7 linked regions of the Macaca mulatta genome follow. The protein of the gene in region 2 purifies or fractionates together with the protein of the main gene of each other region. This does not show direct contact. Links are inferred from orthologs where the notes say so. Each region holds a gene or a part of one and is shown on either strand. Other genes may lie near its edges. The genes, in order: ACTR2, ARPC1A, ARPC5, ARPC5L, ACTR3, ARPC3 and ARPC2.

Region 1 (3,667 bases), on a different chromosome or scaffold from region 2:
CTGTAGGTTGGCTGTTCACTCTGTTGATAGTTTCTTTTGCTGTGCAAGAAGCTCTTTAGTTTAATTAGATCCCATTTGTCTATTTTGGCTTTTGTTGCAATTGCTTTTGGTGTTTTAGTCATGAAGTCTTCGCCCATGCCTGTGTCCTGAATGGTATTGTCTAGGTTTTCTTCTAGGAGTAAACCCATTTTGTAACTTAATCATCTCCAGATTTGCTCTGGAGATTCCTTCCTGAAGTCTTCTTGATAGTTTCTCTAGTTGTCTAATTTTCCATCTACCTGATTAGTTTGGAAGAAAGTGGCTGGCACAGGGCAAAAGATAAGCAAACTAGAAATGTAAAACGTGTTTTATTTCTTCTCTCTTTTCTCAAAGCATTTGAGGTAGACTACAAAGATATATACAAATAGGCTGGGTGTAGTGGCTCACACCTGTAATCCCAGCATTTTGGAAGGCTGAGATAGGAGGATCACTTGAGGCCAGGAGTTCATGACCAGCCTGGGCAATATAACAAGAAGACCCTGTCTCTACAAAAAATACAAAAATTTGCCAGGCATAGTGGCACATGCATGTAGTCCTAGCTAGTTGAGAGGCTGAGGTGGGAAGATTGCTTGAGCCCAGGAGTTCAAGGCTGAAGTTTTGAGGCAGAGCTAGGATTGCACCACTGCACTCCTGCCTGGGTGAAGGAGCGAGACCCTGTCTCAAAAAAACAAAGCAAAAACCCATATATGTATTTACATATATATATATATTTGATATATACACACACATATACACAAGTATAAAGTAATAAGCTGGTGAGTAAGTAAAGAGGGGCATGAGTGGACAAATACAGAACAGGGTAAGATTTGGTGCAAAGAAATGGGATGCCTACGTTTAACAGTTCATTAAGGTGGTTAGAAAACTTGACCCCATGTTGGCCAGCAGCCAGAGCATGGAAAGAAGCCACACTATCAGGCTTCGAGTGCTTAAGGAAGGAGGTTTTGCTAGTAAGATCTGCTGTGCGAAGTTTTTCCAAATATTTTGGATGATTTCATGTGAACCCACCTGACGGAGGTGGCTTTTTTAAGGTTGTAAGTTTTGGTAACCTTTTTTTTCTTTCTCTTTTGAGACAGGGTCTCCTCACTCTGTTGCCCAGGCTACAGTGCAGTGGCATGATCTCGGCTCACTTCAGTCTCAATCTCCCAGAGTTAGGTGATCCTCCCACCTTAGCCTCCTAGGTAGCTGGGACCAGAATCAGTCAGTTTTGGAATCTAAACAATCATTGTAATTGGCCAGGCGTGGTGGCTCATCCTTGTAATCCCAGTACTTTGGGAGGCCGAGATGGGAGGATCATTCGAGCCCAGGAGTTCAAAAACAGCCTAAGTAACAAAGCAAGACCCCATCTCTACAAAAATAAACAAAATGAGCCAGACATAGTAGTGTGCACCTGTAGTGCCAGCTACTTGGGAGGCTGAGGTGGGAAGATCACTTGAATCTGGGAGATTGAGGCTGCAGTGAGCCATGATCACACCACTGCCCTCTAGCCTGGACAATAGAGCAAGACCCTATCTCAAAAAAAAATATATATATATATATTGTAGGGCCAGGCATGGTGGCTCATGCCTGTAATCCTAGCACTTTTGGAAGGCCAAACTGGGCAGATCACTTGAGGCCAGGAGCTCGAGATCACCCTGGCCAACATGCAAAAACTGTCTCTACTAAAAATACAAAAATTAGCCAGGCATGGTGGCACATGCCTGTAATCTCAGCTACTTGGGTGGCTGAGGTATAAGAATCATTTGAACCCGGTAGGCAGAGGTTGCACTGAGCCAAGATCAAGCCACTGCACTCCAGTCTGGGTGACAGAGCGAGACTCTGTCTCAAAAAAAAAAAAAGTAATTATATTATAAATGTACTGTTAGACTTGTTAATGTAAAATTAATTCTGGTATCTTGTATAGAAATGTGTCAAATGCCAGCATACATGGGCATGCTTATTACTTAGGACAATCCAGTGAATTGTGAGGTGTTATGAGAGGAAGTTTCTACTTAACATTTCTCATTTAATTAAATATGAACATGATGTGTGACTGACAAGGTTTTTTTGTACAAAGTCATAATATGACACCTGTGGCCGGGCGCGGTGGCTCACGCCTGTAATCCCAGCACTTTGGGAGGCCGAGGCGGGCGGATCACAAGGTCAGGAGATCGAGACCACGGTGAAACCCCGTCTCTACTAAAAATACAAAAAATTAGCCGGGCGCGGTTGTGGGCGCCTGTAGTCCCAGCTACTTGGGAGGCTGAGGCAGGAGAATGGCGTGAACCCGGGAGGCGGAGCTTGCAGTGAGCCGAGATCGCGCCACTGCACTCCAGCCTGGGCGACAGAGCCAGACTCCGTCTCAAAAAAAAAAAATAAAAAAAAAAAAAATAATAATAATAATATGACACCTGATTTGTTTAAATCTTATTTGCTTAAATTGAAATTATATTTATCAGTTATTTAAAATTTATTAGGACCTAGTAGGATACAACAGAATTGCCTAATAAAAATAGTCTAGATCAGTGTTCTGTAAACTTCTTTGATCATAAAACATTTTTTGGATTAAATGATTTGATAGAAGTGGCACACATGTTATAAAGTATTTTGATGGCAAAATAATAGTTTCACAGAGTAATTATTTGGTGACATAAAATTATTTAAAATGTTTGATGTAGCTGGGTGCAGTGGTTCATGCCTGTAATCCCAACACTTTGGGAGGCCAAGGCGGGCAGATCACCTGAGGCCAGGAGTTCAATACCTGGTCAACATGATGAAACCCTGTCTTTACTAAAAATATAAAAATATGCTGGCGTGGTGGCGCATGCCTGTAATCCCAGCAACTCAGGAGGCTGAGGCAGGAGAATTGCTTGAACCTAGGAGACAGAGGTTGGAGTGAGCCGAGATTGCGCCATTGCGCTCCAGCCTGGGTGACAAGAGCGAAACTCCATCTCAGTCAGTCAATCAATGTTTAACATGTCTATTCTACATAGCAGAAATATCCATAAAATCACAAATATGTTAAAATTATAAAACTGCAGTAACACATAGCAGCAGTAATCAAAATACAGTGGTTGGTTAGTGATGGCTGTTTCTGCTTTGCTGCAAATGTCATGCACTCATGCATCAGTGATTTCTCCAAGAAATTCCTGATATTTGGGGGCATGGCATACCACTTTTAAAAGCAAAACAGAATGTGATGATAAGAACAGTTACCTGAATCTATTTAATTTACCTTTTTTTCCCCAAAATATTTTTTAGGAAAAGTTATTGTTGGTAATGATTTTGGTTACAGAACAGATGTATTTGTAAGTACTAGTGTTCTGGAGAACACTGGGAAATTTTAATCTTTTCTGATTAGTACCTGATTATTCTTGGTTTCTAGCTCCCAGATGGACGTATCATCAAAGTTGGGGGAGAGAGATTTGAAGCACCAGAAGCTTTATTTCAGCCTCACTTGATCAATGTTGAAGGAGTTGGTGTTGCTGAATTGCTTTTTAACACAATTCAGGCGGCTGACATTGATACCAGGTATATTAGAAATGGTGATTTCAAAGTTATTTATCAGAAAAATAATAAAAAAAATTTTAAAGTTATTTATCAAAAATAGGTGGAATTAAATAGAATGCCTAAGTTGTTTATAAACTTACTT
Region 2 (3,667 bases):
GTCTTTCAGAAAATTTCTCTACATAAACAAGCACTTATATATCTTTTCATTTTTAACAGAAATGAGGTTATACATTTTATACATTTTTGTATACATTTGGTAATTTGCCTTTTGATACTTGATAATACTTAGGTATTTTGATGCCAGTGTTACTTAATTTTTATATGGTTTATTGTGACACAGTAAGTTCTTAGCATATGCTTATTACAAGTCCCTATCTACCCTCATATTGACTTCTTTCCCTTTTCCAGTCCTGCAAGTCAGATTACATGCTCCACCCTTCCGCTCCTCCAACATAAATATCTCATGTAGTAAAAGTCAGGTATACCACACTAAGGGCTTCAGATGACACATTAATTCTTCAATGGCAACTTTATGAAGGGCGTCCTGAGACATGTACAGTTAGCTTTTATTTTGTTATTATTTAGAGAGACACTCTCTGTCGCGCAGGCTAGAATGCAGTTCTGCAATCATAGCTCATTACAGCCTTGAACTCCCGAGCTCAAGTGCTCCTCCCAACTCAGCCCCTCAAGCAGATGGGGCCACAGATGTGCACCACCACGCTAGGCTAATTTTTTTTTTATTTTAATTTTTCATAGAGACTGGGTCTCACTATGTTATCCAGGCTGATCTCAAACTCCTGCCTCCAGCAATCCTTCCGCCTCAGCCCCTCAAAGTGCTGAGATAACAGGTGTGAGCCACCACGCCCAGCCACAGTCAGCTATTGAATGCATCGTTTCTTGCATGAAGTGAGGTGCTCCTAACTCATCAGCCAGTGTGTTTGCCTGCCATATCTGTGTAATCTCTTTGCCACACTCAAGAGCAAATAACTACATGCACACACGTGTCCCTGCACGCACACATACACACACACGGCCCATTCGAGTGCGAGCTCCTGGCTAAGACCATTTGGTTCATTTTGGTGGCTCTAATTGCTGACACAGTGCCTGGCCGTCAGCACAGATGTGTGTGGCCACAGCCGTCTCGGAGCTCCGGGGAGCACAGGCAAGGAGAGGGTCCTAGCACAGGTGTTTGCTGCCAAGTCATAGTAACAGAAAGAGCTCTAGGAGCTAAGAGCAGGGAGAAGCTGCTTTAGGCTGCAGTGGCCTCTGGGAAAGTGGACCGTGGGATCATGGGGGTGATCCCTTTAGAGCTGTGCTGGGGGTCGAAGGGCGTGGGCGGAAAGACAGGGCTTTGGGAACCAGTTTGTCATGAGTGGGCGGGGTCTCAGAAGCAGGCGGGAGGAGCCCAGGCTGGAGCTGGAGCCGGAGCCGGAGCCGGAGCCCAGGGCCACCCCTGGCTCAAGAGGCCTGCAAGTTGAGGTCAGAGGCTCCTTTTCAACATAAGTGCCCGTTGATACTGCAGAAGCCCCTGTGAGAATGGGTCCTTTGTTGTCATCTGTGTCTGTAAAGAAGCTAATAGTCTGTTACATCTTGGGATAACAAACGTTCTTGTGTTTAGGGTCTCAACTCTGAAGACGGAGTTCCTGCCGCTCCTGAGTGTGTCATTTGTCTCAGAGAACAGCGTCGTGGCTGCTGTGAGTATTTTTCTTCATTCTCCCTCGGGGTGCACTGTATGTGATGCTCAGACAGGGAACAATGTGTGCTCTGTCACCCTAGCACAAAGCAGAACAGTTTTTTGTTTTTTGGTTTTTGGTTTTTTTTGAGACAGAGTTTCGCTCTTGTCCAGGCTGGAGTGCAGTGGGTGATCTTGACTCACCGCAACCTCTGCCTCCCGGGTTCAAGCGATTCTCCTACCTCAGCCTCCCGAGTAGCCGGGATTACAGGCATGTGCCACCATACCTGGCTAAATTTGTATTTTTAGTAGAGATGGGGTTTCTCCATGTTGGACAGGCCAGTCTCAAACTCCCGTCCTCAGGTGATCTGCCCACCTCGGCCTCCCAAAGTGCGGGCGTGAGCCACCGTGCCTGGCCTTAGAGCTCACTCTTTTTTTTTTTTTTTTTTTTTTGAGACGGAGTCTCGCTCTGTCGCCCAGGCTGGAGTGCAGTGGCCGGATCTCAGCTCACTGCAAGCTCCGCCTCCTGGGTTTACGCCATTCTCCTGCCTCAACCTCCCGAGTAGCTGGGACTACAGGTGCCCGCCACCTTGCCCGGCTAGTTTTTTGTATTTTTTTTTTAGTAGAGACGGGGTTTCACCGTGTTAGCCAGGATGGTCTCGATCTCCTGACCTCGTGATCCGCCTATCTCGGCCTCCCAAAGTGCTGGGATTACAGGCTTGAGCCACCGCGCCCGGCAAGCTCACTTTTAAGAGTAAGAGCAGGTGGGGCACGATGGCTCACGCCTGTAATCCCAATACTTTGGGAGGCCAAGGCAGGTGGATGACCTGAGGTTGGTAGATTGAGACCAGCCTGGCCAACATGGTGAAACCCTGTCTCTACTAAAAACACAAAAATTAACCAGGGCATGGTAGCGCGCATCTATAATCCCAGGTACTTGGGAGGCTGAGGCAGGAAAATCACTTGAACCCGGGAACCAGAGGTTGCAGTGAGCTGAGATCGTGCCACTGCACTCCAGCCTGGGCAACAGAGCAAGACTCAATCTCAAAAAAAAAAAAAAAAGTAAGAGAGGCCTATCATGGTGAACACTCTGCCAAGGAGCTGGGCGGTGGGCAGTGTGTCCTCCAGGGACTGACTGAGTCTCGTTTCAGGGCCATGACTGCTGCCCAATGCTCTTCAACTACGATGACCGCGGCTGCCTGACCTTCGTCTCCAAGTTAGACATTCCAAAACAGAGCATCCAGCGCAACATGTCTGCCATGGAACGCTTCCGCAACATGGACAAGAGAGCCACGACTGAGGACCGCAACACGGCCTTGGAGACGCTGCACCAGAATAGCATCACGTAGGTGCCGTCTGTAGAAAGGTGGTCAGGTGACAAGGTGCCCTCCTGCCCCTCGCCGTTTTCTTACTGGGTTCCTACAAAAGCTCTATGCCCCGCAGGCCCAGGCATTCCTTCAGTTACAAGTGCAGCAAGAAGTCCGTATCTTCCCGACTGCCAGGCTCTCATTTCCAGCTCGTGATAGGGAGAGAGTCGCCACCACCTGGTCATTCTATCCTTCAAGGTGCAGATTACAAGGCAGCAGCCAGCAGCAGCTGTTGCAATCCGAGGTGGTGGGGCTTCAGGGCAACCGCTTCCTAGGGCACCCTTTCTCAGCTACTCAAGAATGAAAGGAGACTTTCTTGAATGCTGCGTTCCCATGGTAGTGCACACATAACAGAAAGCGAAGTTACAGCCTGTTTGAAAAGGTAACTGTAACTGTCATTTCAAGTAATGGATACAAAAAGAAGATTCTTTAATTAAAGAAACAATTTCTTAGCATCATGATGACAAAGCTGAGGAGTGTTTCAACTGGGTTTTCATAGGGTATATGTAATTATGTAAGACAACAGAATTGTGTTTTGTCCAGAAAGTTTGATATTTATTTATTTATTTATTTATTTATTTATTTATTTATTTTGAGACAGAGTCTCACTCTGTTGCCCATGCTGGAGTGCAATGGCACAATCTCAGCTCACTGCAACCTCCGCCTCCCAGGTTCAAGCAATTCTCCTGCCTCAACCTCCCGAGTAGCTGGGATTACAGGTGTGTGCCACCACACCTGGCTAATTTTTTGTATTTTTACTAGAGACGAGGTTTCACCCTGTTGGC
Region 3 (3,667 bases), on a different chromosome or scaffold from region 2:
GGGACAACAAGCATAAATTGGGGCTATCCTGGGAAAACTGTGAGGAATGGTTACCCTATCCATAAATGTTAGTTCTTTTTGATAGTGTATGAGGGATAAAGTGACTTGACCAAGGCTAAACAACAAGTTTACTATGTACTTTTCTCTTATGTGTGTGTTTTCATTCGGATACACTTCAAACACTTAATATTTTTATGGCTGGTTCTATTTACATGTTATCCAGTTTTTTACCCAAAGCTCAAAATCCCTTGTACTCTTTTGACAGATGATGTACCAGCATCTACTTACATTGCAAAATATATGCATGAAAATAGAAAAAAATGATTTAAGAATTCTTGATCCTCCAAACCCCTAATTCTTTAAAAAAAAGTTGTAAAATATCTAACACAAAATTTGCCATTTTAACCATCTTTAAGCGTAAAATCCATTGGCATTAATTACATTTACAATGTATTGTAGCCATCACCACTATCTGTTTCCATAACTTTTTTACCACTCCAAGCAGGAACTCTGTACCCATTAAGCACTAACTCCCTATTCCTTACTTTTCCTACTTCCTGGTAACCTCTAAGGACTTTCTGTCCCTTTGTCTTTGCCTATCTTAGATTATTTTATATAAGTAAAATTATAAAATATTAGTTCTTTTGTATTTGGCTTATTTCACTTGGTATGTTTTCAAGGTTTACTCATGTTATAGTATGTGTCAGAATGTCATTCCTTTTTATGGTTGAATCATATTCCATTGTATGTATGTACTACAATTTACCTGTTCATCTGTTGATGATCCTTGTGTTGTTTTCACCCTTTGGTCACTGTGAAAGAATTCTTGATTTATACTGCTTATTTTCTTTTACAAAGTTTTGATTTAATTTAGAGTTCAAGATTATGTTTAATTACTAATAATCGTTGCTGAATAAACACAAGTGTTGGAATTAGAATCTCTTAAGACCAAGGCTAGTAAACATAAATATGAACTATCATTTTCATGCATTTTATTTGTAATAAAAAAATGTACAACCAAGTCAAAATGGTTATTCAGGTGAGAGAGGTCGTCACTGTCATCCCCTATTGTAAAAGAACCAGTTATGTAGATTTATAATTCATAATTTACCTTTTCATGCCATTGCAGTAACACAGCACTGCTATTGTCAGAGGGGCTCTCAAATCCTTTATAAATATACTTCATTAGGAGATCCACACCATTCTTGTCCAGAGATTGAACTGCCTTTTCAATATCATTAGCTTTAAAAGAGATGAGCACCTTCAAGACAATGCTGCCTGCCCGGTCCTGGTGAGTAAATAAATAACAGAACATTTAGACGTATCTGTATGAGGATGGTTTAGAATTTCAGAAAGGCCACACTAAGAAGGTGACATTTGAGTAAGGACCTGAAGGACGTGAAAGAGGAAGGCCTGGGATAACTGAGGAAAGTGTTTCAGACAGAGGAAAGAACACACTATTAGTGTGTGTTCAGTGTGTTCTAGGAATAGGAAAAAAACCCAATGTGGTTGGAGTGGACTGGTGGGAGAAAAGCAGGTGAGCAAGTCAGAGGTTATGGGAGGACAGATCGTGTAAGGCCTCCAGGCATTGTAAGGAGTTTGGCTTTTACTGAGAGAAATAAGAAGACATTGGAAGGTTTTAAGAGCAGTGCCATAATCTGACTCACATTTTAACAGGATCGCTTTGGCATCTACGTTACAGAGAATAAGCAGTGGGGGTAGGGGATAAGGCAGAAGCAGGGAGAGCAATTAGGAGGTAATTGCAGTAATACAGGCCGGATGTGGTGAGCACAGTAGCAGTGGAAGTGGTTAAAAACTAGACAGACTATTGACATAATTGAAGGCAGAGCCAAGAGGATTTGCTAACAGATCAATGTGATAATTTAACAATTTATTAAAACAACATTTAAATTTTATGTCTTGATCTTAAAAACAAAATTCCAACAAAACAGCCGGGTGTGGTGGCTCACAGCTGTAATCCCAGCACATCGAGAGGCCGAGATGGGCAGATCACCTGACGTCAGGAGTTCAAGACCAGCCTGGCCAAAATGGTAAAATCCTGTTTCTGCTAAAAATACAGAAATTATCCGGGCATAGTGGCAGGTGCCTGTGATCCCAGCTACTCGGGAGGCTGAGGCATGAGGATCGCTTAAATCCGGGAGGCGGAGAGTGCAGTGAGCAGAGATTGCGCCATTGCACTCCAACCTGGGCAACAGAGTGAGACTCCGTCTCAAAAAAAAAAAAAAAAAAAAAGAAACCCCACAAAACAAGGAAGCAGATTTGCATTTCTACCTTGAATTATTCTTCAGAAGTAATTTTTTCTTAAAAACTTTCTTTTAAAATTTTTAAACAAAGCTGTCTTAAAAGAAAATTGTAATTTATATGAATTGACTGTAGATACGAAATATAGTGATGTTCATTAATAATGATCTTTTTTCTTTAGCAAAAGCCTGCTTCAAAAGCAGTTATTTTCTTACCCATTCAAGCAAGCAAAGGGAACACTTAACTGACCTTTTCAACAATTCGTTTCTTCTTCCATTCAACACAAAGGGCTACCTCCAGCATTCCTACTGGTCAGGATTTCACACAATGTTTCTACTACCTATTGTTATCTTTGGTTTAAAGACTATGCAATCACCAGATTTAGAAAACATATCTTTGCATCCAGGGTAAAAATGAAATTTCAACGACATTCTTTACAACTTGTAAAAACCAAAGCAATTTTTCCCCGATAAAAAATTATGTTACCTAGATAATTATTACACATTTACCTAAGTTATTACTTACTACTACTCAATTGAGATTCTTGAAGCTCCTAGGATGTACGAATAGTTATGGACAATGAGGTTGATGCTATGGGCATCATTTTAAATAAATACTTAAATAGGCTAAGAACTACTAAAAGACTGCAGAGAATGTAAGTTGCACAACCATTCTGAAGGGCAATTTGGCAATACTACATGTACCAAAAGCCTTAAAAAAGTGCGTTCTTTGATCCAGTAATTCACTGCTAGCAATTTATTCAAAGAGAACAATTAAAAATTTACCAAAAAATATTCATTTCAGTGGTTCACAATAGGAAAAGTCAGTCTAAATATATAACAAAAGATTAGTTATGTATACACTGCAGCTTATCCATATACAACTGTTAAAAATGCTATAGAAATAAACTTATTACGAAGGAAATCTCTTGTACATTGCATACAGCCGAAAAAGCAGGTTATAAAATTTCATTCTTAAAAAACAAAAGGGAACTCTAACAATATAGCAAGGCCCCAAAGTAGTAACTGTTATCTCTGGGTAGTGGGACTATAAATGACTATCTTTTTAACCTTCCCATATGTCTGAGCTTTCTATAATAAATATTTAGTATTTGTACAGTTTTAAAAAATCTTTAAAAAGCAATTACAATCTGTTTATTTTTGTAAAGGTTTAACTTATTTTTCAAACCTTTGTTCAAATTCAGCCTGAGTGGTCTCCTCTAAAAACACACACAAATGATTTCACTATTTGAATTCACTGCATCTTACCATGCAGCATTATCATAACTACATTACAGGGCTATTTTTTCACGTGAAATTTTTACCTATCAAACTACATTATAAACTCTTCTATGTCAAAGTTAGCAAACGGTTAAAATATTGGTTTTTTTTTTTTTGCAACTGCA
Region 4 (4,160 bases), on a different chromosome or scaffold from region 2:
GGCCTGCGCCACCACACCCGGCTAATTTTGTATTTTTAGTAGAGACGGGGTTTCAGCATTTTGCTCAGGTTGATCTTAAACTTCTGACCTCAGGTGATCCGCTCGCCTCGGCTCCCGCAGTGCTGGGATTACAGGCGGAGACTTTTCTTTAGCGCCAGTTTCCCACTATGGGAGTCTGTATCCTGGTTACCACGGAAGATTAGGTTGCATCATAGTCTGGCAATAGTTTTTTGATCTTTAGACACAGTTCAATGAGAAGTATTCGAAGCAGTAAAAATGAATCACATTCCAACTTTTATTAACAAGGGTACTATTAGATGAAAACAGTTTTCATAGTATTATATAAAAGACCCATTTTACTTACCCTAAGGCTAAGATCAATTAACAGAACCCCTGGGGTAACAGCCCAGGCACCAAATCTGACACCTCAGAGTCGTCCTTGACTTCCCTAACCCGCTTTCCCGCATCTCAGATTCTGAGAATTTGGTTTCTATCAAGATGTGCCTCTCAAGCCAGGCCTCTCCTGCCAGGACGGTGGCCACAGGGCCATCTCCCTCTCCTGGGGCCCCAACTGCCTGGTCAAGGTGACTGCTACACACGTGGGGCCGCAAAATCCCTCGAGTCACAATGTCTTCAACGCCTTGTCAGCCCTCTGATCGCACTAAACGTCTTTAAAGCCTCCCACTCCTTTAACAGGGTCACCTCTGTGTAAAGGAGACCTCCTCGTGCTAAGTGTGGCGGCGTTCAAGATTCCAAGACACAGACCCCTCCCGCGTCACTCCCCGGGCACAGGAACTCCTACTCATCCCTCAGTCATCAGCTCGAAGGTTTCTTCTCCAAGAAGCCTGCCCAGCACCCGAGAAGTAGAGCCCCGAGCCTTCTCCCGGGCGCCCAGTCTTCCCCCGTACAGGCAAGGATCACCCCGGAAGCCCGCGCCGGGCCCCGCTGAGGCCAGGGGTTCTTCGGAGGCGCGGGAAAGCCGGATCACCAGCGCGATTACGGCACACACTATGCGGGGCCTGCAAGGATACCGGGCGGCCACTCCTCAGTGGTAAGACAGAGGCTCCGCGGAAGAGAGACTGAGGTCGGAGAGGCCGCGGAAACCCCATAGCGCACTCCACGGGACAGGTTCCGCCCCGCCCCGATGACGCTTCCGGATCCGGCGTGTGCCGGAAGTGGGCGGGCGGCGGCGGCTGCGCGCGGAGGCGGTGGAGGAGGTGCTGGGAGCAGCCCGGTGGCCGCTTCCCGCCCCCGAGCCGGAGCCGGTGCGAGTGGAGCAGAGCTGAGGTCGGGCCGCGAGTGGAGCCGGCTGAGCGGGCGCCGAGCTCCCGCCATGGCCCGGAACACGCTGTCCTCGCGCTTCCGCCGGGTGGACATCGACGAATTTGATGAGAACAAATTTGTGGACGAGCAGGAGGAGGCGGCGGCGGCGGCGGCGGAGCCAGGCCCGGACCCGAGCGAGGTGGACGGGCTCCTGCGGCAATATCCTTTCCTGACGCGGCGTCCGGGCCTGCGCGCGGCCTTCCCACCTTCTCGGGCCCCTTCGGGCGGGCCTCTGCTGTCTCCGACCCCCGGCCCCCTCAGGTCAGCCTTCAACTCCCTGCCGACCTGACTCCCCTGGGCCGTGCTCCCCTGAGTCCTGGTCTCCCTGGGTCCTTCCTCCCCAGCCCTGGCCCCTTCTTGTGCAGCGCAGCCCCGCAGGCCCTTGGACCCGGTGGACGGGCTCCCTCGGTAGCCCCGCAGGTCCCGCGCCCCGGGCTCTCTTCCCCTCTTGCCTCCTCGTCCCCTCACGCTGTCCCTTTCTGGGGGCCCCAGCACTCCGTCCCTCCCTTGCAGGAAATCGGGCCTATGGCGGGGCTGGGTCGGCGGCAGGGCGGAGGTGAGCCGTATCTGAGTAACCGAGTGATCGGTGAGGCTGGGGCGCGGTCTTCCGGGGCCAGATTGCCGCAGGGCGTGAAGATAGGTGGGTGGACCGCTGTGGGGAAGACAGGACCCAGGAGGGAGTGGAGGCGGCCGCCCTATTTCAGCCCTGGGGTCTAAGGTTGTGCCTCCCCTCCCCCAGTCAGTCTAACCCTCCCGCTTAATGCTGAGAAAGGGAAACCCTGTGGTTCCTCTGGTCACCTTGGTGGTCTCAGCTACGCTCAGCAAGTGAGTCTTGGCTCCCCCCAGTACCCTTCTGGTGCAGGAAGCAGCGGAAAGAACTAGTAGTTCAGAGCTAAGAAAAACCAGACACCTTGAAGTGAAGTGTGAAAGTAGAGCCCCACGCCTGGAAATGACTGTTCTTGTGGCCACAGAAAACAGCATTTAGAAAAGATTAAAAATAGAGGTGATTGTCACAGCCTTGCTTGGTCCTTTAGCAGTATGAGCGCAGGAAACTGACTTATTCTCACCGGAAGGATTTTTCTTTATTCAAATGGTGTTCCAGGAAGCCTGTCCCCTCCCCCCGCACGGGCGGGGGCAGGGTTGGAGGCCCATGCTGTACATAAATCAGGTTCTCGGTGTTGAACCAGTTGACTCAGCTTGGAAAGTGGGGCCTGCTGCTTTAGGGGGAGCCCGGCAGTGCTCCTCAGTGTGCCTTTAAAACGAAAACCTTCAGACTTGGTTTGAACAGGAATGTGTTTTCGGAAGTGGAGATTCAAGCTTGTCATTCCTGCCCCATCAGGATCTCCCAGTCCACCCTAGTTATGAAATGGGGTCAAGGGAAGGGTCCCCAGGAGGGAAGGTTGGTTGTAGTCAGGTGCAGGGCCTGGCTTATGGAGAGTCAGTGCTGAAGGGGGCTCCAAGGTCAGGCCTTTGGCCCAGGACCCTCATTGAACAGATGAGGAGGTCAGGCCTGTCAGCTGCTGCCTTGGTCTGGGTGCAGAGCCTTGTTGAAGGTCATGTCTTGGGATTCCCCTGCCTGGTGACAGGTTCCTTGAGGCTGCTTAGAGGCCTGGGTTTAGCACATCCCGGGGATGGTCGTTTCTCCATTCATGGCAGCGGCAGAAACCTTGTTACCATGGAGAGTGTTCCACCTGGGGTTGGGGAAAGGGAGGTTAGCGGATAAAGAGAACTGAAACCCTGGCAAATACCGGACCCAGGTAGGGAGGAGAATGGAACTGATATTTATTGGGTCTCTATCATGTGCCAAGAATTGGACTTAGACCATTGAGGACAGGGGAGCAGGGAGAGGGATAGAGGGATTGGGGTTGGGGAGGGCAGAGAGGAACCCTGTCCTGGGGCTATATAGGGAAGTGTGTGTGGCGGGAGATCACGCAGATGGGGTAGAAGGAACTCGGCTGTGCATCTTCGCACACCGCGCGCCATCATGCTCTGGCTCTGACCTCGGATAGGTCACATACCCTTTCACAACTCAGCATTCTCCTCTGTGACGTGGCAGACAGCCGTGCTGGCTTCCTAGGTTCTGTGGGAGCCTCATGGGCTAACATCAGCATCACGGGGCACACAGCAAGTGTCTGCTCAGGTCTGCAGCTAGAGCGGCAGCACGGGATTGTGGGAGGAGCTTGGGTGCCAGGGCCATCTAGACAGCTTAGTTTTGTGACCCTGTGCAGGTAATTTCCGTTCTCTGAGCCTCAATTCCATTGCCTTTCAAATGAGATAATGATTGTTGTTACTGGGATTTTTGGAATGAGATGGCATGTGAAAGCACCAGGCACAGGATCCGAGACCTTGTGGCGATTTAAAAGTATGAGTTCCTTTCCCCTCAGTGAAGCAGCTTCTAGACTTCTGGATCAGGGCTCTGGCCAGAGCAGTGGTTTTGAGCGATTTTGCACCCCTCCTCTCCACCTCAGGAAATTAGAAACATTTTGATAGTTACAGCTTGGGGATGCCACTGGAATCCAGTGGGCAGAGGCCTATGACCCACAGCTGAGATCCCACGTCAGAGAATCGTGGGTCCACAGTGTCAGTTGTGCCGTGATTGAGGAAGATCTAGAGATCAAGGGCTGGGCAGGGTTCCCCCAGCACCACAGCCTATTCTCTGAAAAGGTCTAAAGCCAGCCAAGTGTGACAGCCGGCTTCATGAATGATAGGTGATTTCAGGGAGGCCCTCCCTGCACCCCACATCACCCAGCTGCTGAAGGCCCTCACCCATCAATGGACCGAGTGATTGCTGGACACGTGGTGCTGAGGTAACGCCACAGCAGGGGCTTTTTGCCCCC
Region 5 (4,219 bases), on a different chromosome or scaffold from region 2:
ATCCCGACAAGTTTTGGGATTAAGTTTCAAGTTTCCTAACTCTTAAAAGCTTTCTTATCTAAGACGATCAAGTTTTACAGATGGCCACTTTTTTCCAGCCACCTTTTCCCTAATTTATATAACGAATGAAATGAGCAACCTGATTCAGGTTACAACTTTTTACTTAAGCTAAGTGGGTAATTGTAATTTAGAGACCTAAGAACTGAATGCATTCTCTAAAGCATAAAGAAATAGACAAATTATAGGTGCACAATTTGCATTCGGGGCCCACAGAATTTTGAAATGTAAAAGCTCCCTGTTAAGGCCATACTTAGAGATGCTTATCTCAGGGTCCTCGACCTCAAGGACTTATCCTCCATGTGCTAATAAAGCTGAAAGTGTAACTTCCCAGGAGGCACCACTGGCAACTTGCAAGACCAAAAAGCCTTTTGAGGACCAAAATAACTGAAACTCTAAAGGGGGAATTTCAGATTGTGACAAATGGTAAAGAGAGGGAGGTGGCAAGGGGACTCCTAATCAGTTCCATTCAAATCATCAAAGTGCAGTTAACAACCTCTCCTTATCAGAGAAACCAGTGTAATAACTTAAAAATATACTATTGTAATAATTGTAATTTTAAAACAGAAATACTCTAGGTTAAATTGAACCCCTCTCCCCGATCCTACTGGTCATTCAGCATGTTTTAAATTCAAGGTTGCCCTTTAGGAAAGGAGGTCACTTAAGGACAGATGACCTCAATGAGACATCCTGTATACTAATTCGAAACTATTTCAAAGAGGGAAAAATGGAGATTAGAAAAGTAACATACTACTTGAGATGTTACCATATTATTTCTTAGGGCCACAGTTATTTACACTATTTTTTTTGACAACTCAGTAATTTCTAAAGCATTAATTATGTAGCAATATTCGTCACTTTAACAAAACACATTTAAAAAGTTCTATCCTACTGACTCAGGCCAAATCTAATTTTAAAACTGAACTTAGACATAAAACTACTCATCAATTAGACTAAGAAGGGGGAAATAAAAAAAACTATTGGTTCCGAGAAATGAGAACCAATTAAGAAAAAACTTTATAATAAAGTGTTCATGAAAAACTTTATAATAAAGTGTTCATCAATAAAATACATGGAAGTTCCAAGGCTAATCTAGGCTAGTGCTTTCCTAGGGAGAATATTAAGAAGTTGGTTGTTTCTCTCTACCTAATTGGGATTTTAGAAACTGCCACACTAGCTAGTTATGAGAATGAAGATTAAAGAAATTTCACGTAAAGAGTGAAGGACACACAATCTTTTAAGTAACAATAATGAAATTAATAATTATAATTAATAAAAAAACAAGCCTCTCACTGCCTTCCCCCTCAAAAAAAAAAAAAAAAATTGGGAGTGTTTTGGGAATTGGAGAGATGTAATCAGAACAGAAAAAAAAAAAACCCTTCCTATAAGTCATCGTGAAGCAGTGATTCTACATTAAAATAAGAGTAGTCTATTCTCTATGTAGTTATGAGTGTGGTACAACTCTCTAAAATGTCTATTAATACAAAATGAAAGATCACTTTTAAGCCATTCTACATTTTAGCAAACTACCCTACAGATCTAGGAGTAACTACTTGCAACTTAAACACATTCCTATATACCTCTATACCTTTCTGCTTCCTTCAAGATACCTTTACAGAATGAACGAATACAACTTAAATTAGTTTATTTCCCAGGGTGCTTCCTTTCTCCCCTCTCCATGAAACATAAGCACATTTTTTAAGTCATATAAATGGATACCAAGCACCTGTAATTCAGTCTCTTTAAAATCTGCTTAATTTTAAAAGTTCTAATAAGATGTGTTCAGGTTGGAAACTAAAAACTACCTTATAAGGGTATAAAAGACTGAAAGCAGGAAGCGGCTTTGACAAAACTAAGGAAGTTACAGCGCGCTTGCTCACTGGGGGACTTTTTTGAGGCTACAGAAGTAACACATGACATCTTTCTCCCTCGAATTAAAATGTGACTCGGTTCACCGGTTGAAACGCAGAGGGAGATGGCAATGACCGGGAGTCGAAAGGAGAAGGTGGGTGGTCAAATGAAAACCCCACTGTAGGTTCCCATTTTCAGAGTCCGATTCTTCCCTTTCCCCACCCACACCCTGGGCAGAATGTTGTCACAGCGATCTTGCAAAACCTACCAGGAGCGCTTCTCTTTTCTAGCTCCTCTACCAGGCCAGTCCCCGAGCTCGGCCCCTGGGTCCCCACACCGACTGGCAAAAAGGGACACGGAGGGAAAGCAAAGCCGGATGGGTCGGGCCCGGGGACCACCCCTAAGACGACCGTCCCTAGCACTCTCTGGGCGGCACTGCCCACCGCCGTGGGGGAAGGGCCGGGAGGGGTCGCGCGGAGGAAGCTGCAGGGAGGGTTGGGGGTTGAATCTGGGGCCCGCGCCCCCGCCCCAGTCCTAGGAGGGAGAAACGAGGGGACCGGCGAGGCCCTGGCTCCGGGCCCCACCCCTCGCTGGCCGGCGAGTCTAGGACTGACAGCCGGCGGCAGCACCTCGCCGCACCATTCATTTCCCGGCCTCCTCCCTCCCCCGCCATTTTCCTTCCTCCGCCTCAGTTTCCCCACCCCCGCCCGTAAGCCCCCTTACCCCGTGCCACAGTCCACCACACAGGCCGGCAGCCGTCCCGCCATCTTCCTCCTCGCCTGCTGCTGCTGCTGCCGCCGTCTGCTCCGTGCTGCTAGGGGCCAGAGATTGGCGGCGGGAGACAGGCGCTATCTGACCATCCACAGCCGGGCCGCCTTCACCGTCCGGGGGGTAGCCGGGAAGCCGAAGCAGTAGCAAGAAAGCAGCAGGCTCGGTCAGCGGCTATCACTTCCGCAACCCAAGCAGGCAGGCAGTCCCCGCCCTGCCCCGCCGCGGCCTCCTCCCCCTCTCTCTTCCCTCCTCCCCACTCCTGCCCCCACCCTACAACTTCTTCCCCTCACGCCGCCTTTCCCCGGGAAGCCAAGATGGCCGCCGGTGCCGACGCCCCGGCCAGGCCAGGCCCAGGCCCCGAGCACTCCCCCTTCCGCTCCGAGCGGGAGGGGCTAGCGAGCATGCGCAATAAGGTGCGTTCGCCTGCCGGGGCTCCGATCCTGAAGTTAGTGAAATCCACAGCGGGTTTTCCAGGAGGGTAGAGACGGAGAAGTCTAGCCGAGCTTCTAGTTCTGCTTCTGAAGCTGGAAGGGGCTTTTCGGTGGTAGCCCTTGGGTTAGTTTCAGTTACTTCTCTGCTAGGTTGAGGAAAGAGTGGAAGCGCCTCCTGCAGCCACGAATATCCTCCAGTGCCTGGGAGAAAACGGCCTAATCGAAAACGTCCGCGGCATGCATCCATTCTTAAAACTTGAGTGGCTGCTTTTCTGGGTGGAAAAGAGCGATATCACACAGGGTGAGCAGTCGGGGAACGGATGAACAAAGGCTTGCACCGTGGCCCTGATGCCTTTGTTCCGAGTTTTATTCAGTTGTACTTGTGCGTTGTTACAGGACTTCAGAATGTAGCCCTGCCCTCCAACCCCCACCTCCCAAGGCCTGAGCTCCTGAGGAAGGCAAACCGCCCAGGAATATATTCTGCAAAACTACAAACAGCCTTTATTCAAGGCTTTTGGACTATGACAAAGATTACCCTCAGGAGTAGTAAGATTCTACTAGCGGGATAATAGAAGGGATTTAGCCCCCCCAAAAAAAATTTTTTTTAAGTTAAAGACGGAGGCGGGCCGCAGTGGGTCAGGCCTGTAATTTCAATGCTTTGGAAGGCCGAGGTGGGAGGAGAGGATAGCTTGAGGCTAGGAGTTCGAGATCAGTCTGGGCACATAGGGAGACCCCCCCACCACCACCACCATCCCTCCAAAAAAAGAAAAGAAAACTGGAAAGCCTTAAAGAAACCTTTCAAACTTTAGTGTGTGTCAGAATCACCCGAAAGGTTTGTTAAAACAGATTGCTGGGCCACACCCCCAGAATTCTCTGACTGGGCTGTCTGAAATAATGCCTGAAAATCTGCGTATCTAATCAGTTCCTAGTTCCACTTTAGGACCCTAGAAGGTTAATAGCTTTCCTCTCTACCAGGCTGATCTTAACAATAAACCATTCTGAGTTTGCTAATGTGAAGCTAAAATAAAAATATTCTTTAAAAGGAAGGATGTCTTATTCAGTCCGTGAGATCATCTAATGTGGTATTAAGCTGGCCTGGGGGATGGAAT
Region 6 (4,110 bases), on a different chromosome or scaffold from region 2:
GGGACTCACAGTGCAGGCAGCGCTTTGCTCACGTGGGGCTGTCATGCTGGGCTGTGAGACTGAACCTCGGAGAGAGGATGGAAAGAACAGAAAGCAGAAAAGAAATGGAGAGTGACTATGGGGCTACTTTGGGCTCTTTGTCAAAAAAGACCTTGCCTAAAAGGTGCTATTTGCCCAGTCACCTGAATGCGAAATCAGATGTGGGAACATGGGGCTCTATTCCAGGCTGCGAACTGGCAGAAGAAATGGCTCTCAGGTAGCAATGAACTTGACTTTTAACGTAAGTTTTCTAGTAATAAATAGGTTAAAAACTCCTGGGCTTTCGGTATGCTCCAAGCATGTAAGTTCTAAGCATTTTACATGTAATTCATTTCATCGTCACAAAATTATGAGGTAAATATTGTTACAACCATTTTCAGGTGAGGAACTGAAGTACAGAGGCAAGTTAACTTGCTCAAAATTATAGAGCTAGTATGTATTGAAGCTGCGATTCAGATTCCAGTGCCCTTCAGTTTCTCCATTTTTAGATGCAGTGCATTGGGTTCATTCATTTACTCAAATACTGATGTTTCCTACATACCATCACTGTTACAGGCGCCAGGGGACAAAACGGGCGAAGTGCTGTCTGGCATTTACAAGGATAGGGAGACAAGCACTAAGAGTAAACTAAATACAAGAATCATAAGAACTAAGGGAAAAAGCGGGAGAGAAGGATAAGGCATGGGGCTGGAGTCGGGTGAATTGAAAACAGAATGACCAGAGGCGGCTTCACAGGAAAGGTGTTTTGTTTGTTTGTTTAAGATAGAGTCACACTCTCACCCAGGCTAGAGTGCAGCGGCACGATCTTGGCTCACCGCAAACTCCGCCTCCCAGGTTCAAGCGATTATTCTGCCTCAGCCTCCCGAGTAGCTGGGATGCTACCACGCCCAGCTAAGTTTTGTATTTTTAGTAGAGACGAGATTTCACCATCCAGGCTGGTCTCGGACTCCTGACTTCAGGTAATCCACCCGCCTCGGCCTCCCAAAGTGCTGGGATTACAGGCATGAGCCACTATGCCCGGCCCTGAAAAGGTGAAATTTGAAAAAAACACAAAAGAGGTGATTGATCGAAGATTCTGGAACCTCAAGACCCATCTCCATTCTGCGCGCGCCTCACGCTGCGCCACTCTGAGGGCCCCTACCTAGCGCTCTGGCGCCCCCTTTCAGATCCGCGCGGCCGCTGCAACCAGAGGCGGAACTACAAAGCCGGAAGCTCACGTCATCACCCCGCCCCTTCCGTTTCGCTTCCGCCTACCCCGCCCGGGCTGCAAGACCGGAAGCGCTCTGCTCTACCTGGATTCTGCTCCTCTGGGTTGGAACCCGGGTGCTGCCAAGATGCCGGTGAGGGTTCGATCCATGGTGTGGGGAGACAGCGGGGATTGCGAAAAGCGGGGAGAAACCTTGTGTGTGCCGAGAGAAGCGGGCGGCGGAAGGCAGAGAGGAAGCGGGGGCCCGAGAAGGAGTGAGGCGAGGGGAGGGGACCGGTCGCTGAAGAATTGGGACAGCCCGCGGGTGCCAGTCGTGGGAGGCGGGGGCGCGGCAGGAGTGGGCCCGGGGTCCAGGGGTCCAGGGTGTGTGAGGAGGCCCTCTTCTCTCTCTCTCCGTCTACTCCTTCCGGCTCCGGCAGGGTTCCCAAAGCGTCACTACAGCGCGAAGCCAAGGGTTGCCCTTTTTATTTTTCATATTTCAAGTCCAGGGTCTAGCTTCTCCTTTTTCTGTGAGGCCCACTTCCTCCTCCGCCCCGGGGGGCAGGCTCCCTCTGCTGTTTGTCATTTGTCAGAACCCACTTCCCGGCAGCGGCGGCCACCCCGGAGCCACCTGGGTATAGGGCCCTCACAGACTCGGTCGGCGCCTGACTTCCAAAGATTTCCTTTTTCGTGTGCATCAGAGTGGGAGTAAAAATCTATGACGGTCTGGTTGTACTTAATTTCTGACAGGCAGTCTGTGGGCTAGATTTATCACCATCATGGTCTCCATTTTGCAGATTCGGGAAAAGGTGGTTCGGTTATTGTGTGATTGTTCACACTTTTTTTGTTTTTTGAGAGAGTCTCGTTCTGTCGTCCAGGCTGGAGTGCAGTGAGGCGATCTCGGCTCACTACAACCTCCGCCACCTTGGTTCAAGCAGTCCTCGTGCCTCAGCCTCCTGGGTAGCTGGGATTACAGGCGCGCGCCACCACGCCCAGCTAATTTTTTGCATTTTAGTAGGGACGGGGGTTTCACCATGTTGGCTGGGCTGGGCTGGAACTCCAGACCTCAGGTGATCCGCCCCCTCGGCCTCCCAAAGTGATGGGATTATAGACATGAGCCACCGCGCCCAGCCTGCTCACACATTATTTTTAACAAACGTTACCGAGCACCTACTGCCTGCCAGGCTCTATTTACAGCAGCAAATAAGTTCAACAAATCCCTAATCTTAAACAGTGTACGTTCAAATCGGGAGACGAGACAATAAAAGTGTAAACATAAAGGAGATACATACAGTAGTGTCAGGTAGTGACAAATGCTATAAAGAAGCTAGATGGATGGCCAGGCGCGGTGGCTCACGCCTGTAATCCCAGCACTTTGGGAGGCCTAGGCGGATGGATCACGAGGTCAGGAGTTCAAGACCAGCCTGGCCAACATGGTGAAACTCCATCTCTACTAAAAATAAAAAAATTAGCTGGGCGTAGTGGCGCGTGCCTGTAATCCCAGCTACTTGGGAGGCTGAGGCAGGAGAATCGCTTGAACCCAGGAGGTGGAGGTTGCAGTGAGCCAAGACTGTGCCACTGCACTCCAGCCTGGCCACAGAGTGAGACTCTGACCCCCCCACTCCAAAAAAAAGAAACTAGATAGGTAACAAGACAGTTTGGTGAAAGGGAAGGCAGAGGGTGCTTTACATAAAGTATACTTGTGATGAAAAGGAGCAAGCCATAGTTGCAAATACATATATATATAGATATATATAGATAGATTTTTTTTTTTTTTTTTTTTTGAGACAGGGTTACACCCCGTCTCTGAGACTGCAGTGCAGTGACACAAACTTGGCTCAGGTGATCCTCCCACCTCAGCCTCCTGAGCAGCTGAGACTACAGGTGTACATCACCACGCCCAGCTAAGTTTTTCTATTTTCAGTAGAGACAGGGTCTCACCATGTTGCCCAGGCTGGTCTCAAACTTCTGGGCTCAAGCAGTCCTCCTGCCTCGACCTCCCTGAGTGTTGGGATTACAGGCGTGAGCCACCTCATTCAGCCTCACAAATACATATTTTATGAATTCCGTAATTACCATTTGACTCCTGAGCTCTGGGGTACACACTTTATAAATTATCCCATCTAATCCTCATAATGACCCTGTGAAGTAGGTACCATGATTCCTATTTTACAGAAGAGGAAACGGAACCTCAGAGAAGTTAATTTGGACAAAGTTGCCTACTAATGGTAAAACCAGATTTTAAGCCAGGACTCTAGGCTGGGTACAGTGGCTTATGCCTGTAATCCCAACACTTTAGGAGGCCAAGATGGGAGGATCACTTGAGCCCAGGAGTTTGAGACCAACCTGGGCAACATAATGAGACCCTGCCTCTACAAAAATAAGAATAAATTAACTGGATGTGGTAGTGCATCTCCTCCCAGCCTCTCAAGAGGCTGAGGTGGGAGGATCACCTGGAGCCAGGAGTTTGAGGCTGCAGTGAGCTGTGATCATGCCACTGTACTCCAGCCTGGGTGAGAGGAGACTCTGTCTCCAAAAAAAAAGGACTCTAAAGCCCTGTACTGGCTCCAGTTGCACATAGAGCACCCTGGATTCACCCTGGGTTGGTTGGTTGGTTGGTTTGTTTGAGATGGAGTCTCGCTCTGTACCAGGCTGAAGTGCAGTGGTGCGATCTCGGCTCACTGCAACCTCTGCCTCCTGTGTTCAGGTAATTCTCGTGCCTCAGCCTCCCAAGTAGCTGGGAATACAGGCATGTGCTACCACACCCGGCTAATTTTTGTATTTTTAGTAGAGATGGGGTTTCACCATGTTGGTCTGGATGGTCTCTATCTTTTGGCCTTGTGATCTGTCAGCCTCGGCCTCCCAAAGTGTTTGGATTACAGGCG
Region 7 (4,173 bases), on a different chromosome or scaffold from region 2:
ATGGAAGATGCACTCTGGAAAAGGCTGCTCTGAACTGTAATTTCCCCAACTGGTTTATTCTGAGAAGTGCAAAAAGTAGGGTGGAGCTGACCTCTCCTAGCAGGTTCCCACACCAGCAAGGCCTTTCAAATCTCCGGGGTTTCTCCTCCAAATTACTCCCATTCTTTAATCTCTTTCTCTGATCTCCACCCCAACACCTTTCACCCTTTAGCACCTCCCTAACTTGGCTAATAGGCTCTCAGAAAGGCCCCTTTTTTCTGTTGCTGCCTGGGCTGAGCACTGGTAGAATCCCATACATGTTTATGATAACCACACTGGGCAAACTTTGCTGAAGTTCTGGAATAGGCATGCACCTTGCTTTACCTTACTGGGATGCCTGGTAATTTCCGCTTGCTTCATTCGGGCTTCTGCTGGGTGATATATCTGTAATCCCAGGAGAGCCCTGCCTACTAGGCAGGATATTGTGGTCTTTTAAAAGACTTTCAAAGTTTCAAATTCTCAGCAGAATGTTCTGAGCCGCCTTATTGAAAACCAAATCTCAAAGAGGGAGATGGGCCAGAACGAAAGCCTAAATTTATACACACACACACCCGTACATGTGCACAAGCACACACAGCAGTGCACCCCCATACAAGTTCCCTACAATGCAAATCTTTGTAAAAAATGAGGACAGGCGCGGTGCTGTAATCCCAGCACTTCGGGAGGCCGAGGTGGGCGGGTCACCTGAGGCCAGGAGTTTGAAACCAGCCTGGCCAACATGGTGAAACTCATTCTCTACTAAAAATACAAAAATTAGCTGGGTGTGGTGGCGCGTGCTTATAATCCCAGCTACTTGGGAGGCTGAGACATAAGAATCACTTGAGCCTGGGAGGGCGAGGTTGCAGTGAGCAGAGATCGCGCCACTGCATTCCAGCCAGTGAGTCTGTCTCGGGGGGAAAAAAAAATGTCCTGCAAGTCCTAACGTTTTTCTTCCAGACTTGAGGGCCTATTTAATCCCTCCGAAATGGTTAGCTGCTTCTTTTAAGAATAACTTTTTAAAAGAAAAAGAAAGAACTGAAGTTCCGAATAATGGGCCATATTTTGGAATCACAAGTCATTAATACACAAATAGACGAGAATGTACTCCTATGTTAAAAGACATGCCTCTTCTTGCAAATACACAGCCATTTATCTTGTAGATCAGCTTATAACCGCCCAGGTCTCATTCTTTGCTAGTCTGGACCTGAGAATGCATTAAGATCAGTTATGAAAATGCAGAAGTTAATTCAACTTCCTCCTATGTGCTACACTGCTCAGAAAAAAGTATACAGCAATCACCCAAAATAAGACTCTGGGCTGATTCATTTGAATATCTAAAATGCAAAGAAACTGGTAAGAGAGGCTAAGACAAGAAAGCAGCAAGTCAGCCTAAAATATAAGCAACTGCAGCCCCTGGCAGGAAACAGTACTGCTCACTACACATATTACTTCAAGGAAAGTAGTGCTTTGTTTTACAGATAAAATCTGTTGCCTTATAAAGGAGACAGGACATACTATATATTCAATTTAAATGGTAGTTAATACTTTTTAATGCCTCCAAGCCACAAGTACATTATGACCACTTAAAAATTCCCCTCTACCAATCTTTTCCCATCTGTGGATCTCCAAGTAGTTTCCTATTACTAGCTCCCAGTTCACCAGAAACAGTCTGCTCTTATTTCCTCAACTGTGAAACCCAGATGTGAAGCCCCATGCTTACAGATAGGGAAATGAGGCAAGGGGATTGGCCATAGGCCACCAAAAATTAGAACCCAAAACGCTTAGCTCATGTTTTAAATATATTAGAAAAGCAAAGCAGCTTTGGAGGAGGAGGTTGTCTTCTACTGATTCTTGTGTTTGGCAGAGAAGGCTGCCTTGGAAATACGACCTAAGCCCATCTTTTAAAAAGTCCAACTGTAAAGAGAGGTTATCTAAGAACTTTATAGATTCTGGAGGCTTTGAAGTGTGTAACTGGGCCAAGGCTACCACGGAAGAAATCACAGACCAAGGGTCTTGATGTAAGAATTTACAAGATAACCAGATAAAGGCTAGTGGGCGAGGAGAGAGCATTAGAACCTCAAAGGAGAGATAAGGAACGGGTGTGGAGCAAGGGACAATTAGCTTTGCTTGAAAACTATGTAACAAAATGGCCCAGTGTCTCTCACAGAAGGGTTCGGGAAAGGGAAACCAGAGATCGCGTTTTTCCGGCTCTAAGACTGGGTTGGCTTTCAGTCTTCTCTTCTGCTCCTTTTAGAGCAGACGGCAGCGGGGAACGAGAATGCTGGTGGCGACGTGGGCCTGCATCTCCTTTCCTCCTCCAGTCCTGGGAATTCCTGAAAACTCCTTCCAACCCAATTCCAAACAGGCTCTCTCTGGGTTCAGAACAATGCCAGGGAATTTCACGCAGGGAAGGGGTCCCCTTCTCGCCCTAGCGGGCAGGGGGCTCCTCCGGCGCGAGTTCCGGCCCCAGCGTCCCCCACGTCCCACAGGTCTCCTGCCCTTTGGCACGCACAGCCCTCACCACTCGCTGCTTCCGCATCCCTCCTCTGAGCCTCTCCCCACGCATCTCTGCCCCTCGCCCGGCCGCGCCCAATCGCCTCCCACCTCTACCCCGCTGGGGCAGCCCCTACACCCTGCCAGGCACCCCATTTCTCTCCTCCAGGTCTGGGGGACTGGACGACACTGGGGATTAGCTGGGGTCAACTCTGCCTCCCCCGCCACCCCTGGCCCCGGGCGCGCGCTCACCCGGCGGCCGCGTTCTCGAACTTGAGCGCGAGCGTCTCCTCGATGATGCGGTTGTTCACCTCCAGCAGGATCATGGCGGCGGCTGCCCCGAGCAGGGGAAGGAGAAACAAGGGCCGGTGAGGGTGGGTAAGGTAGGGAAGGACGGAGGAAGCGGCCCTGCTGCCCCCTGAAGGGACCTGGGTGGGGTAGGAGGTTAGGGGAGAAGGGGAGAGGGGCCGGGATGGAGGGAAGGGTAAGACGCACGCGCTGGCCCACGCACGCAGACTGTGGAGACACCCACCCACCCAACCAACCAACCGACCTGGCCCCCAAAGCCTGAACCCGCCTGCCGAGCCGCCGCCGCCGCCGCCGCCACTGCCGCTTCACCGACAAGCCCAGTCCCCGCCCAGCCCCCGGCTCTAGCCGGCCACTTCCGCTCTCACACCCACTTCCGCTCGCCGCCTGGACGCGCGGCCCCGCGGCGCCATTTCCGCTTCAACCCCTCGTGAACGCGAGCGCAGGCGCGCCGGAGGAAACGGAGACTGCGCTTGCGTATGTCTGATGCCGCCACCCCACCCTCTACTTTCTCACAGACCCCCTTACGTCTACAGCCTACCAGTGCGTCCCCCGCGGAGCTGTCATTCCCCGAGGCTTGCCTGACTGTCCAGGTTCTCACTCCCGCTTGTCCCAGAGATCCAACTCCGTTCTTCCGGTCTTGTCATTTCAGAGACCTCGCAAGAAGCTCGCCCTTGTAGTCTCCCAGCGGGCTTCTTTGCTCCCAGCTTGTTTGCTGGGGGTGCCTCTTTTTCTTTCCAGGTATAGCTGTCCAGCGACACCATCAGACATTCATTTCTCCAACAAACATTTTCATGGGCTCTTGCTCTATACTGGGGATGTAGTGGTAAATGAAATAGATGAGGCCCTGCCCTCGTGGAACTTAGAGTCTGGTAGAGGAAACAGACAATAAAATTTTCAATTGTGTAAGGAGGTAGAGATGCATGGGGAGAGGATCAGAGTAGGGATGCGGAAGCAGCGAGTGGTCAGGAGTGTACGTACCAAAAGGCAGGAGACCTGTGGGACGTGGGAATAGCTGGGGCCGGAACTTGCGCCGGAGGAACCCCCTTGCCCGCTGGGGCGAGAAGAGGACACTTTCCTTGCGTGAAATTCCCTGTATTGTTAAAAGGACAATTAAGGAAAGGAATGAGAGGTCACCTGGGTGAATAGGCAACTTAGATGGGCCTCCCTGTGTTTCTGTCATGCCTCCAATTCTACGTCCAGGTGTCCAGAACACATTTTTTTTCTGCTTTTGAAACCTTCCAGTACCTCTGGCAGAGATACACCCTCCTTGTTACCTGAGTGCGGAATCTTAACTCCTCTTTGTGCTACATCCGCACCATCTGCCTTAGTGCCTTGTTTTGTGTTTTCCCTCCT

The links.
Region 1: the proteins of ARPC1A (region 2) and ACTR2 purify together in Homo sapiens (affinity purification with mass spectrometry; 9 studies listed by BioGRID and IntAct, counting the BioPlex papers as one, with this or other methods). This does not show direct contact. The link is inferred for Macaca mulatta from reciprocal best matches to the Homo sapiens genes ARPC1A and ACTR2.
Region 3: the proteins of ARPC1A (region 2) and ARPC5 fractionate together in Homo sapiens (co-fractionation; 8 studies listed by BioGRID and IntAct, counting the BioPlex papers as one, with this or other methods). This does not show direct contact. The link is inferred for Macaca mulatta from reciprocal best matches to the Homo sapiens genes ARPC1A and ARPC5.
Region 4: the proteins of ARPC1A (region 2) and ARPC5L fractionate together in Homo sapiens (co-fractionation; 7 studies listed by BioGRID and IntAct, with this or other methods). This does not show direct contact. The link is inferred for Macaca mulatta from reciprocal best matches to the Homo sapiens genes ARPC1A and ARPC5L.
Region 5: the proteins of ARPC1A (region 2) and ACTR3 purify together in Homo sapiens (affinity purification with mass spectrometry; 7 studies listed by BioGRID and IntAct, counting the BioPlex papers as one, with this or other methods). This does not show direct contact. The link is inferred for Macaca mulatta from reciprocal best matches to the Homo sapiens genes ARPC1A and ACTR3.
Region 6: the proteins of ARPC1A (region 2) and ARPC3 purify together in Homo sapiens (affinity purification with mass spectrometry; 8 studies listed by BioGRID and IntAct, counting the BioPlex papers as one, with this or other methods). This does not show direct contact. The link is inferred for Macaca mulatta from reciprocal best matches to the Homo sapiens genes ARPC1A and ARPC3.
Region 7: the proteins of ARPC1A (region 2) and ARPC2 purify together in Homo sapiens (affinity purification with mass spectrometry; 8 studies listed by BioGRID and IntAct, counting the BioPlex papers as one, with this or other methods). This does not show direct contact. The link is inferred for Macaca mulatta from reciprocal best matches to the Homo sapiens genes ARPC1A and ARPC2.

The regions. Positions count from the first base shown.
Region 1 is NC_133418.1:59,439,884-59,443,550, reverse strand, and holds part of ACTR2 (actin-related protein 2), read left to right. Parts: intron 1-3,400; coding exon 3,401-3,546; intron 3,547-3,667. UniProt on the Homo sapiens protein: ATP-binding component of the Arp2/3 complex, a multiprotein complex that mediates actin polymerization upon stimulation by nucleation-promoting factor (NPF).
Region 2 is NC_133408.1:46,590,178-46,593,844, forward strand, and holds part of ARPC1A (actin-related protein 2/3 complex subunit 1A), read left to right. Parts: intron 1-1,461; coding exon 1,462-1,537; intron 1,538-2,666; coding exon 2,667-2,860; intron 2,861-3,667. UniProt on the Homo sapiens protein: Probably functions as a component of the Arp2/3 complex which is involved in regulation of actin polymerization and together with an activating nucleation-promoting factor (NPF) mediates the formation of branched actin networks.
Region 3 is NC_133406.1:41,104,552-41,108,218, forward strand, and holds part of ARPC5 (actin-related protein 2/3 complex subunit 5), read right to left. Parts: intron 1,289-3,667; coding exon 1,112-1,288; intron 1-1,111. UniProt on the Homo sapiens protein: Component of the Arp2/3 complex, a multiprotein complex that mediates actin polymerization upon stimulation by nucleation-promoting factor (NPF).
Region 4 is NC_133420.1:22,905,183-22,909,342, reverse strand, and holds the start of ARPC5L (actin-related protein 2/3 complex subunit 5-like protein), read left to right. Parts: upstream 1-1,247; 5' UTR 1,248-1,333; coding exon 1,334-1,483; intron 1,484-4,160. UniProt on the Homo sapiens protein: May function as component of the Arp2/3 complex which is involved in regulation of actin polymerization and together with an activating nucleation-promoting factor (NPF) mediates the formation of branched actin networks.
Region 5 is NC_133417.1:23,708,110-23,712,328, forward strand, and holds the start of ACTR3 (actin-related protein 3), read right to left. Parts: upstream 2,885-4,219; 5' UTR 2,676-2,884; coding exon 2,632-2,675; intron 2,063-2,631; exon of another isoform or gene 1,901-2,062; intron 1-1,900. UniProt on the Homo sapiens protein: ATP-binding component of the Arp2/3 complex, a multiprotein complex that mediates actin polymerization upon stimulation by nucleation-promoting factor (NPF).
Region 6 is NC_133416.1:117,616,710-117,620,819, reverse strand, and holds the start of ARPC3 (actin-related protein 2/3 complex subunit 3), read left to right. Parts: upstream 1-1,296; 5' UTR 1,297-1,373; coding exon 1,374-1,379; intron 1,380-4,110. UniProt on the Homo sapiens protein: Component of the Arp2/3 complex, a multiprotein complex that mediates actin polymerization upon stimulation by nucleation-promoting factor (NPF).
Region 7 is NC_133417.1:123,429,412-123,433,584, reverse strand, and holds the start of ARPC2 (actin-related protein 2/3 complex subunit 2), read right to left. Parts: upstream 2,849-4,173; 5' UTR 2,838-2,848; coding exon 2,764-2,837; intron 1-2,763. UniProt on the Homo sapiens protein: Actin-binding component of the Arp2/3 complex, a multiprotein complex that mediates actin polymerization upon stimulation by nucleation-promoting factor (NPF).